3 linked regions of the Arabidopsis thaliana genome follow. The protein of the gene in region 2 interacts with the protein of the main gene of each other region in a pairwise test. Each region holds a gene or a part of one and is shown on either strand. Other genes may lie near its edges.

The links.
Region 1: the proteins of ERS2 (region 2) and TUB8 interact in a protein complementation assay, tested with the Arabidopsis thaliana proteins (one large-scale study listed by BioGRID).
Region 3: the proteins of ERS2 (region 2) and GLR2.9 interact in a protein complementation assay, tested with the Arabidopsis thaliana proteins (one large-scale study listed by BioGRID).

What each region holds. Positions count from the first base shown.
Region 1 is NC_003076.8:8,040,766-8,044,523, forward strand, and holds the start of TUB8 (tubulin beta 8), read left to right. Parts: upstream 1-2,087; 5' UTR 2,088-2,196; coding exon 2,197-2,590; intron 2,591-2,719; coding exon 2,720-2,989; intron 2,990-3,077; coding exon 3,078-3,758. UniProt on the Arabidopsis thaliana protein: Tubulin is the major constituent of microtubules, a cylinder consisting of laterally associated linear protofilaments composed of alpha- and beta-tubulin heterodimers.
Region 2 is NC_003070.9:1,156,101-1,159,858, reverse strand, and holds the start of ERS2 (ethylene response sensor 2), read left to right. Parts: upstream 1-2,045; 5' UTR 2,046-2,313; intron 2,314-2,719; 5' UTR 2,720-2,733; coding exon 2,734-3,758. UniProt on the Arabidopsis thaliana protein: Ethylene receptor related to bacterial two-component regulators. Acts as a redundant negative regulator of ethylene signaling.
Region 3 is NC_003071.7:12,502,856-12,506,613, reverse strand, and holds the start of GLR2.9 (glutamate receptor 2.9), read left to right. Parts: upstream 1-1,669; 5' UTR 1,670-1,695; coding exon 1,696-1,957; intron 1,958-2,582; coding exon 2,583-3,758. UniProt on the Arabidopsis thaliana protein: Glutamate-gated receptor that probably acts as a non-selective cation channel. May be involved in light-signal transduction and calcium homeostasis via the regulation of calcium influx into cells.

The sequences.
Region 1 (3,758 bases), on a different chromosome or scaffold from region 2:
GGTTTGTGTAGAGAAAAAAGAAAATATATATACGTATAACCAATGTTGTAGATTACTAGATTTATGTTTCAAGTTTAGGTTATTTCACACGAAACTCAAAATGACCAAATTTCATGTAATAGCTTTAGAAAGATGAAATATTATTTACGAGCTGATGTCGTTTCTTAGGTTTCCATGCCATATTCTAAGTATCTAAACACCAGCCTAAAAAGAGAGTTTAAATTTGGTAAACGATAACGATCACCTTAAGAAAATATTAAGCTCAAGAAGAGTAGTAGTTAGTATAAGATTAAGTTGGTTATGAAACTGATGGTGTAACTTGATGGCCACTACTACTCACTGACACCACAAGTTGCTCTAACTTTGAGACTGATATGTTTCTTTTAGATTGATACATTGCTTCTGATATAGGCCATAATCATTTAAAAGCTGTTTTTGCTGTCTTTCTCTCTAATTTTCACGTCACGTAGGGTCAAATTTCACCTGTTTTATACTATTTCTAGTTGATCATTGAGTGATTTGCACGTTACTGTTCAGATTAGACCCACCCATCGCACTACAATAGTATTGGATGATTTATAAACTTATATATAAAGCGTAAGCTATCAAACACATCCACACAAAACTAGACTGCCGTAAAAAAAAAAACTAAATTATGTTTTTTTTTAGTTCAAGCTCTCGAATACATCCACACGAAACTAGATTGCCGTCAAAACAAACAAGTAAATTAAGATAAATCTTAAAGTCGAATGCACACTGAACAACTAAACTATGTATATACGAAAATCTACTTGCACATGTGCATCTTTTGTTATTACTTATTTGCTTTTTACTATTTCATATTAATGATTGCTTCGACATATTGGAATCTAATCTCAAATCACCAAGAAGTAGTGGAACAAATCAATCTTTGTAATTTGTCTTAATTTTACGATATGAAGAAGTACAATTCAAATCTAAATTCTTTAATCCTGAATTCTTCTGTTTGATATCGTCCCTAATTCCCTAATAAATCTAAAACTTTATAAATCAAATCGTATGACGTATTACAATTTTACCGTATATAAATATAGTGTATTATTCTTGGTGGTTTTACCGTATATAAAATACATCACAGTAATCCAGTCACGTGCTTTTCCGTTGGTATCAATCACGTGTCTGTCAAGGTTCGCTTCATGTGCAAGAATAAGAAAAAAGCGGGAGAACAAATAAAAGAAGAAGGAATTTGTTCAGATCTCGCAGCCTTTTTATCTTCAAGGTTTCAGTATTCACATGCATCACGTGAGAATGAATACCTGATCCACACTCTGGATCTATCTGTACAACACCCTCACTGTTTTTTTCCTTATTATTTCAGATCAGATAATGCAGATGTTTATACTTTATAGCAGTTAATGCAGCCTACCAAAAAAAACATTTATTGTTTATGGATCAAATTGTGCAATATCTATATTTATAAGTGAAAACATTTTTCCTTCATGAAATTATAATTATGGGATTTAATAAAGTTCAAGAAATACACTGTTTTGTTCTATTTTCCCAGTGGGTCTTTTTGCAGTAGAATTAAACTTTTTCTCCACATACTGACAAAAAATATACAGAATGTCTTGCTTTGAAAAAAAAAAAAATCATAATCATTTGCAAAGTGGAAAAAATTATTAATTTTTATTTCAAATGTTTTATTAATAGTAAATTTCAGGATATTAATTTATGTCGTGGGCCAACGGACCTAACAGCCGTTACTTACCTCCGTCATTTGTGGCGGCAATAAAGAAGAATACCAACGTTACCGGTTTGAGTTTATCGGTTTGGTTCAATTGGTTATAACAAAAATTAATTTATATTCCTAAAAACAGAGAAACACTCATAAAAGTAGTATTTTCACTAAAATACAACCAATTAAATCATAAGAAATAAAATGCATTCGAATTTAACAATAAAAAAATGTATTGTGAATAACTGAAAATTCAATAGTTGATTTTTCTGGTTAAGTATGGTACGGTTCACGTAAACCAGTACAGTTAGAACCGGCAAAACAACCCAAATGAAAAATCCCGTCTCCGTTATCTATTTAGTATAAAACCAACCACTTCGTCTTCTTCATTTCTTCACAAGTCATAACCGTTTCAAATTCTCTCTCTCTTTCTCTTTCTTTCTCAATTTTTGTAGTTTCATACTCTAGCTTACTAATCAAAGATGCGAGAGATTCTTCACATACAAGGTGGCCAATGCGGAAACCAGATCGGAGCTAAGTTCTGGGAAGTAGTTTGCGCCGAGCACGGGATCGATTCGACGGGAAGATACCAAGGAGAGAACGATTTGCAACTCGAACGAGTCAATGTCTACTACAACGAAGCGAGTTGCGGAAGATTCGTCCCACGCGCCGTCCTCATGGATCTAGAGCCTGGTACTATGGATAGTGTCAGATCCGGTCCGTACGGTCAGATCTTCCGTCCTGATAACTTCGTATTTGGTCAATCCGGTGCCGGTAACAATTGGGCTAAAGGACACTACACTGAAGGTGCTGAGCTTATCGATTCCGTTCTCGATGTTGTTCGTAAGGAAGCTGAGAATTGTGACTGCTTGCAAGGTTAGAAATCGCTCTCTTCGATCTCGTAGTTGTGTAGAAACTTAGCAATCTAGCTATCGATTTGGTCATATTTAGGATTGATGTTGATTTAGATTTGTGTGTGTGTTGTTGATGTGAATGATTCTTCAGGATTCCAAGTGTGTCACTCATTAGGAGGAGGAACTGGATCTGGAATGGGAACGTTGTTGATTTCAAAGATTAGGGAAGAGTATCCAGATAGGATGATGCTGACGTTTTCTGTATTCCCATCACCGAAAGTGTCAGACACTGTTGTTGAGCCTTATAATGCAACTCTCTCTGTTCATCAGCTTGTGGAGAATGCAGATGAGTGTATGGTTCTTGACAATGAAGCTCTCTATGACATTTGCTTCAGAACTCTTAAGCTCACCACTCCAAGCTGTAAGATCCTCTAGTTGATTTAGTAATTTAGTGTATTTGTATGATCAAGCTATATGCTAATGGGATTCTTTGTTTGGGTTTTGTTCAGTTGGAGACTTGAATCACCTCATCTCTGCAACCATGAGTGGTGTCACTTGCTGCCTTCGTTTCCCGGGTCAGCTAAACTCTGACCTGCGCAAGCTTGCAGTGAATTTAATCCCATTCCCTCGTCTCCACTTCTTCATGGTTGGGTTTGCACCACTCACATCTCGTGGATCACAGCAATACAGAGCCTTAACCGTCCCTGAGCTCACTCAACAGATGTGGGATGCCAAGAATATGATGTGTGCAGCTGATCCACGCCACGGCAGGTACTTGACAGCCTCAGCCATGTTCAGAGGCAAAATGAGCACGAAAGAAGTTGACGAACAGATGATCAACGTTCAGAACAAGAACTCGTCATACTTTGTGGAATGGATCCCAAACAACGTGAAATCAACCGTGTGTGACATTCCACCAACAGGTCTGAAAATGGCTTCGACTTTCATCGGGAACTCGACATCGATCCAGGAGATGTTTAGGCGTGTGAGCGAACAGTTCACAGCGATGTTCAGAAGAAAAGCTTTCTTGCATTGGTACACAGGTGAAGGAATGGACGAGATGGAGTTCACAGAGGCAGAGAGCAACATGAATGATTTGGTATCAGAGTATCAACAGTACCAAGACGCAACGGCTGATGAGGAAGAAGGGTATGAGTATGAAGAAGACGAAGTGGAAGTGCAGGAGGAGC
Region 2 (3,758 bases):
GTGAAAGTTTGATTTCGTTATTAATTAGTGGGAAACAAATGGAGATTTGCTGAAACGTACTCTCGATAACAGTTCATATTCAAGACTCAAGAGAATCTCGTATATTCTAAGGAAGACGTACCTAAACAGAAAGTTGGTCCCAAAAAACGAGAGAAGGAATGAAAGATCAAGGATACATGTTTTATATACATGAAAAATACTAAATTTTAAAAGAAGTATTAAACGTTTTTATAATGTCACCGGAAAGAAGATGTAAATGTATTGATCAAATCATCTGACTATAAAAGTAATTCAAATCACCATTTTTTTAAATCAATTTGAATATTTGATGAATTTCCGTATATAAACAATCAGTCCCGCTCTTGCTGTATAAATGAAACGTCTATCAAACATTAGCTAGTCTTGTACTGGATTGCCTTTACAGACAAAAGATTATACTGTATATGTATGTGGTCTCATGCAAAAAAAGTAAAAATGATTCTGTGTACATCTGTTTTGATTTGCATATATATTGGCTTAAGTGGCAAAGGTGCATGCACTATTTCTATTTCTTTGATAAAAGTTTTATGATGCATGCATTCTTACCAGTGATTTCTTTAAAAGGAGAAGACATTTGTTTTGTAATAGTGACGAGAATGTAGACAGAAAAGGAAAGGAATCAGCACGTGTTCATCGCTCGACACGTGGCCAATAATAGCATTGGATTCAGAAAAAAAGAAAAAGAAAAAAGCGAAAAAACCTGTATAACAGGAAAAAAATACAATCTGCACCAGCCGGGAATCGAACCCGGGTCTGTACCGTGGCAGGGTACTATTCTACCACTAGACCACTGGTTATTTATTTAAAAGATTTATATTGGTATAAAACCTTGACCATAAAATGTTCCTAGTGCATCCACTAAGATCAAATTCATATTAATAAACAAAAACATAAAATTCAAACCGATATAGCAAGATTGCTGTTAGTTTTGTCTTCTAAATCTGATAAGTGTTCGTTATTGTCGAGGTTATGTAGCTAGTTTATATATTACTTGTACTAAATTTCAATAGGGCAATCAAAATATACGGATTTTCATGTGTATATATTTTTCTAAATTTGCGGTTTACAAAGAAAAGTTAGTGGTTGATCATATTGATTTCTTGAAAGGGAAATATTACCAATAAAATGATAAAATTGCCAAGAAAAATTAGTAGTACGATCGATAATTTAGTGATATTGGGATCCAAAGAGATGATCATGCACTTAGTTAAGACTCCATTTTCTGATAAGAGTTAAGTGGCGGTAGACCCACAAAGAAATTTGATTCGGTATTGTTATTATTGAGTAGAAAAACAAAGATGGAGTGTTTAACTAAATCATGTCTAATAAGTAGCAAGGTAGGTCAATATAACGTTTTACAAACGAAAAATAGCATTGCATATTTAATTATCTACCAAATATCTTAAGTCAGTCGAATAAACTAACTCATTATGTTATCAAATCAGCCGCAAATTGTGCCGTTTAAGTCAATACTATTTTTAACTTAGATATTTAGTGAGTAGACTTCATACTTGCATAGTCTAGTAGTTATCATTGTTTAATGCAATTTTTTGGTTTTAATGTAAACTTATACTACTATTTGGTCATGTAATCTCACTTTCTAAAAAACCAATGTAATCATCCATAATAGAAATAAAACATTTATTTAATATAATTAACTAATTTTTAAACATTAAAAAGAATAGATTTATTTTTATACATAAAATAATAGAAATATAAATATATATATATATTATTATAGGTTGTTTATTGTAATCCAAAAGCAGAATAAAATTTGGGATAGGTATTAAGAGTCATAAATCTTGAAAATAGAGTCATTAATTAATAAAGCTGAAAAGGAAAGATTAAAAAAAGAAGAAGAATCCTCTAAAATTGAATTTGGTAAGAGTCCACGTAGGTCAAGAAGAAGAAGAAGAAGATGTCGTGCTCGTGTTGTGTTCCAAACGAAAAGCGTCTATGTTCTCTTCATGTACCGTTTCTGGGTCCCACCCCCCTTTCCTTCTTCACTCTCCCCCCAATTCCTCCCTCTCTCTCTCTCTCTCTCTCTCTCTCTCACCAAAACGTAAATCTACTCTCTCTATCGCAGCAGACACAGAAAAAGAGAGAGCGAGAGACTCTGCTCACACACATATTTACTTCCCTAACTTGTCTCTCTCTCTACACATTCTGGTGAGTTTCGTAAGATTCAACAATCGTTTAGACTTCTTCTTCTTCTTCTTCTACAGCTTTTACGTTTTCTGGAAAAGAGATTTTTGGCTGATCACTACGTTGCAGGTATATGATTTCTCAAATGTGAGATGGGTTTGATGTTCCTTTTCGCTATTTCTCATCTGATTTTGAATTTTCTGCGGATTTTGTGAGGAATCGGTAGATTTTGATGTTTGTTCTTGTGGGTGGTTCATAACTTCATACATTTAGGGGATTAAAAGAAAATTAATTTACAAATTCGGTCCTTGTTGTGAAAAAGATTTATAATCTAAAAGACATTAACTTTACTCTCTCCTTGAACAAGTTTTGAATTTTGAATCTTTTTCTGATTTTGATTTTCACTATGTTCATAGGTAATTGCACAATTCTGGGTATACAAAATCCAAACGTTACGCATATTGAATTGAAAAATCTCGATTTTGAGTTCTGGGTATGAATAAAAATCTCACCTTTTTAATTAATTCTTACTCAGGGAAACAGTAATCGATGTTAAAGACATTGTTAGTCCAATGGCTTGTCTTCTTCTTCTTCTTCTTAATCGGTTCCGTCGTCACCGCCGCAGAAGACGACGGTAGCTTGTCGTTATGCAACTGCGACGACGAAGACAGTCTCTTTAGCTACGAGACAATCCTCAACTCGCAAAAAGTCGGCGACTTTCTTATCGCAATCGCTTATTTCTCGATCCCAATCGAGCTGGTTTACTTCGTGAGCCGCACCAATGTGCCTTCACCTTACAATTGGGTGGTCTGCGAGTTTATAGCCTTCATTGTTCTCTGCGGCATGACCCATTTGCTCGCTGGTTTCACCTACGGGCCTCACTGGCCTTGGGTCATGACAGCTGTCACTGTCTTCAAGATGCTGACTGGTATCGTCTCTTTCCTCACGGCACTCTCGTTAGTCACTCTCTTACCATTGCTTCTTAAGGCTAAGGTTCGTGAGTTTATGTTGAGTAAGAAGACCAGAGAGCTTGATCGTGAGGTTGGGATCATTATGAAGCAGACTGAGACGAGTTTGCATGTTCGTATGCTCACTACCAAGATTAGGACGTCTCTTGATCGACACACCATTCTATACACTACGCTTGTGGAGTTGTCCAAGACTCTGGGGCTCAAGAACTGTGCGGTTTGGATCCCGAATGAGATCAAGACGGAGATGAATCTTACTCATGAGTTAAGACCGAGGATTGATGATGAGAATGAGAATGAGCATTTTGGTGGTTATGCTGGGTTCTCGATACCGATTAGTGAGTCTGATGTTGTGAGGATTAAGAGAAGCGAAGAGGTGAATATGTTGAGCCCTGGTTCTGTGCTTGCCTCAGTGACTAGCCGAGGGAAGTCAGGTCCTACGGTTGGGATAAGAGTCCCTATGCTTCGGGTTTGTAACTTTAAAGGCGGGACACCAGAGGCGATTCACATGTGTTATGCGATATTGGTGTGTGTGCTTCCATTGAGACAGCCGCAGGCTTGGACTTATCAAGAGCTTGAGATTGTTAAGGTGGTGGCTGATCAAGT
Region 3 (3,758 bases), on a different chromosome or scaffold from region 2:
TCCATCCACCATGCGTGATTCTTACATCTCGGCCAAAAGATCCAATAATTTACTATATCATTATTTGCAAATGCTCATAGCTCTACAATATCACAATCTCAAGCAAGAAGAAGCGTAACAGAGGAAGAAAGATAAAGGTACACATAGTTATGTAAAAGCAATCACTGCCTTTCACGAAGTGGTTGTCCTTTAGCGAAACCCTCTCTTCGAATTGGAGACTTTTTTAGCTTTATAACCCAAGCTAAACAACTCAACGTCCTCCAGTTACCCTTTAATGACTTAAATCGGACCAAATGCATTTCAATTTAATCAATTCTTCAACACAACAGAATTTTAAGAAATTAGACTATTGTATATCAACCATAAAAAATTGTTTATGTCGTCATCACCCACGTAAATGTAGATTCTTCAGTTATATCCAAAATCATGTACTGTAATTTAGGATTAATGTATTTTCATTGTTTTGGAAAAAATAATGTTGACGAATATTTGTTTTCGATTTGCCCATATTATACGTCTTCTTGACCTATTCTCGAACATGCGTAAGAGAATGTTGTTCTACAACGGACAATCATATTGTGTATGGCATAGTTGAACAAACTAAATCTGAATAAATCCAAACTAAGAAAATTCCGTTAATTTCCGACTGCTCGTAAAAAATAAAATTAAAAATCTTGGAGGGAAACTCACTTCACTTACCCTATATTTTTTAATTTCTGTATGCTAATTCCACCAAAGTACACATATCTACAAGATACACTCTTCTATAAAACATTTATTTATTTTATAGTAGTACGACAATTTTTGATACATTTTATTTCTAAGAATTCTTTAAAAACGGTTCATTGCATTTTTTTGCGTTAATTGTATGGACATATCTACATATATAAGCTATTTTTAGTGTTTTTGTGTGCAAGCATATAATTATTCTCAACCATTTTTTTTAATTTAATCCTATTACATTTCCCAAACACATTTTTGCTTATTCTTATTCTCTTTAAAACACATATATTTCCAAATATTACCTCTAACCTATTTCGATTATTGTAATTCCTATTGCAAAACACATTTGAAAATTCTTAAAGTTGGCCAAAACAATTATTAAAAAATTATAATATTTAAATTTACCATTAAATCTGGATAAAATGTATATATTCTTTTTATATAAGAAAAGCTTACAATAGTATTTATCTCGTGCATTAGCATGGGATGGATGTATAAAACATTAGTTTTTTTCTTCAGAAAGGCTATCCTCAAAAATAGATCTCAAAAAGGGTTAAGAATCTTATTTTGCACAATTAACTCTTAATTATTTCAATTATGATATTATAATATGTCAATTACAATACTAAAAGTAAAAAAAAGAAAGAATTGCGATCCTTATATTTTATAAAATAGACGATTTGGTTATTTAATAAGTTATGGGTATTTTGTAGTTTGCTTTTCAAAGAGAATTCATCTGCAAAAGCCTCATTTGACTCTTTCAAACCAGTTTTATTAATTTCTAGTCAACACACTTTTTTTTAAAAAAAAATCGATATGTCTCTTTCGTTGAGAAACCAATTTTTGGCATAGTATTTCAAAGTCTTTCATTGATTATAAGTATCTTTCAAACCGATCCTTCCACTGTATATATATAACAGGAAAAAAGTAAGTTAAAGAATCACATAAAGTCTCCTCAGTTTTGGGGCGATTATGATGATGAAAACTAATAACACCTTTTTGAGTTACTTTGTTTGCGGTTTTTTGTTGATGGGGGTTGGTTTAGGACAAAACCAAACAAGTGAAATCAAAGTAGGAGTAGTTCTTGATCTCAATACAACATTTTCCAAGATCTGCCTCACTTCTATAAAGATGGCCGTGTCCGATTTCTACGCGGATCATCCAAATTACCTCACAAGACTTACGCTTCACGTTAGAGATTCCATGGAAGATACTGTTCAGGCTTCAGCTGCAGGTTCGTTACTTCTCTATGTCTTGCTTCAGCTTCCCGTCATTTTGATTTATTACTTATTAGTTGCGGTTGAATGAAACATATTACGTATAGACATGGTTTAGCTAATTACTATTTTATTGAATGTGACCAATATTTTAGATCAGTATTAAAAATCAAAGTATCATATGGGGGTATATGCTAAGAGTCTTGGTGACGATTTATCTTTTAGACTATACTTCAAAAACCAAGTGTATTCTTATGTGGTCTAATGTCTATGGTAAGAGCAATCTCTTGATAGAGAAGTCCAATTTTTTTCTCTTCTAGAAATTCATGGTGACGGTTGTATGGTCGCAGAAATCCTGATTACTATTAGTCTCGTTAATTATATTTAACTCATGAGTCTTAATATATTAGATGAATAGTCGAAAACTATTGGTGACATGTCTTATGATACCTCTACAATTTTAACTATTTATGTAAATTAATATTGTCTTATTACTTTGCAACTAGAGCTCTTTTGGACTCGACAAACATGGCTTAGCCTTATAAGTTGTAACTCTTCCATTGAAAATGGAAGATATTATATCCAAAAACAGAGGATATTTAACCTTTCTTCTTTTCTTTATGTTGCTTGTGGTGCAAGCAGCCTTGGACCTAATCAAAACCGAGCAAGTGAGCGCCATCATCGGACCAATAAACTCTATGCAAGCAGATTTTATGATCAAACTGGCCAACAAAACTCAAGTACCGACCATCACATTCTCTGCAACAAGCCCTCTTTTGACATCCATCAAAAGCCCTTACTTCGTCAGAGCCACTATCGACGACTCATCCCAGGTCAGGGCCATTGCGTCCATTTTCAAATTCTTTAGGTGGAGAAGGGTCGTCGCAATTTATGTGGACAACGAGTTTGGTGAAGGATTCATGCCTTTCTTGTTTGACGCTTTACAAGACGTGGAAGTCAAGAGAAGTGTGATCCCTCCGGAGGCTATCGATGATGAGATTCAGAAAGAACTTCGTAAGCTCATGGAGAGGCAAGCGAGAGTATTTGTTGTCCACATGGAATCAAGTCTCGCTTTACGGGTTTTTCAGATAGCTAGGGATATCGGGATGATGGAGGAAGGGTATGTATGGTTAATGACCAATGGAATGACGCATATGATGAGACATATAAACAATGGTCGTAGCTTAAATACTATAGAGGGCGTGTTAGGTGTGAGGAGCCATGTCCCCAAATCGAAAGAGCTCGGAGATTTCCGTTTGAGATGGAAAAGAACATTTGAGAAGGAGAATCCATCGATGAGAGATGATCTAAACGTTTTTGCATTATGGGCATATGATTCAATTACTGCATTGGCTAAGGCTGTGGAGAAAGCCAACACAAAGAGCTTATGGTATGATAATGGGAGCACCTTGTCAAAAAATAGGACAGATTTGGGGAACGTAGGGGTCTCTCTCTATGGTCCAAGTCTTCAAAAGGCTTTCTCGGAGGTAAGATTCAATGGTTTGGCAGGAGAGTTTAAACTCATAGACGGGCAGCTCCAGTCACCAAAGTTTGAGATCATAAATTTTGTCGGAAATGAAGAGAGGATTATTGGATTTTGGACACCAAGAGATGGACTCATGGATGCAACAAGTTCAAACAAAAAAACGTTGGGGCCAGTGATATGGCCAGGGAAGTCAAAAATTGTTCCAAAAGGATGGGAGATTCCAGGGAAGAAGCTTAGAGTGGGCGTTCCAATGAAGAAAGGCTTCTTTGATTTTGTTAAGGTAACCATAAATCCGATCACTAACAAAAAGACCCCAACCGGTTATGCCATAG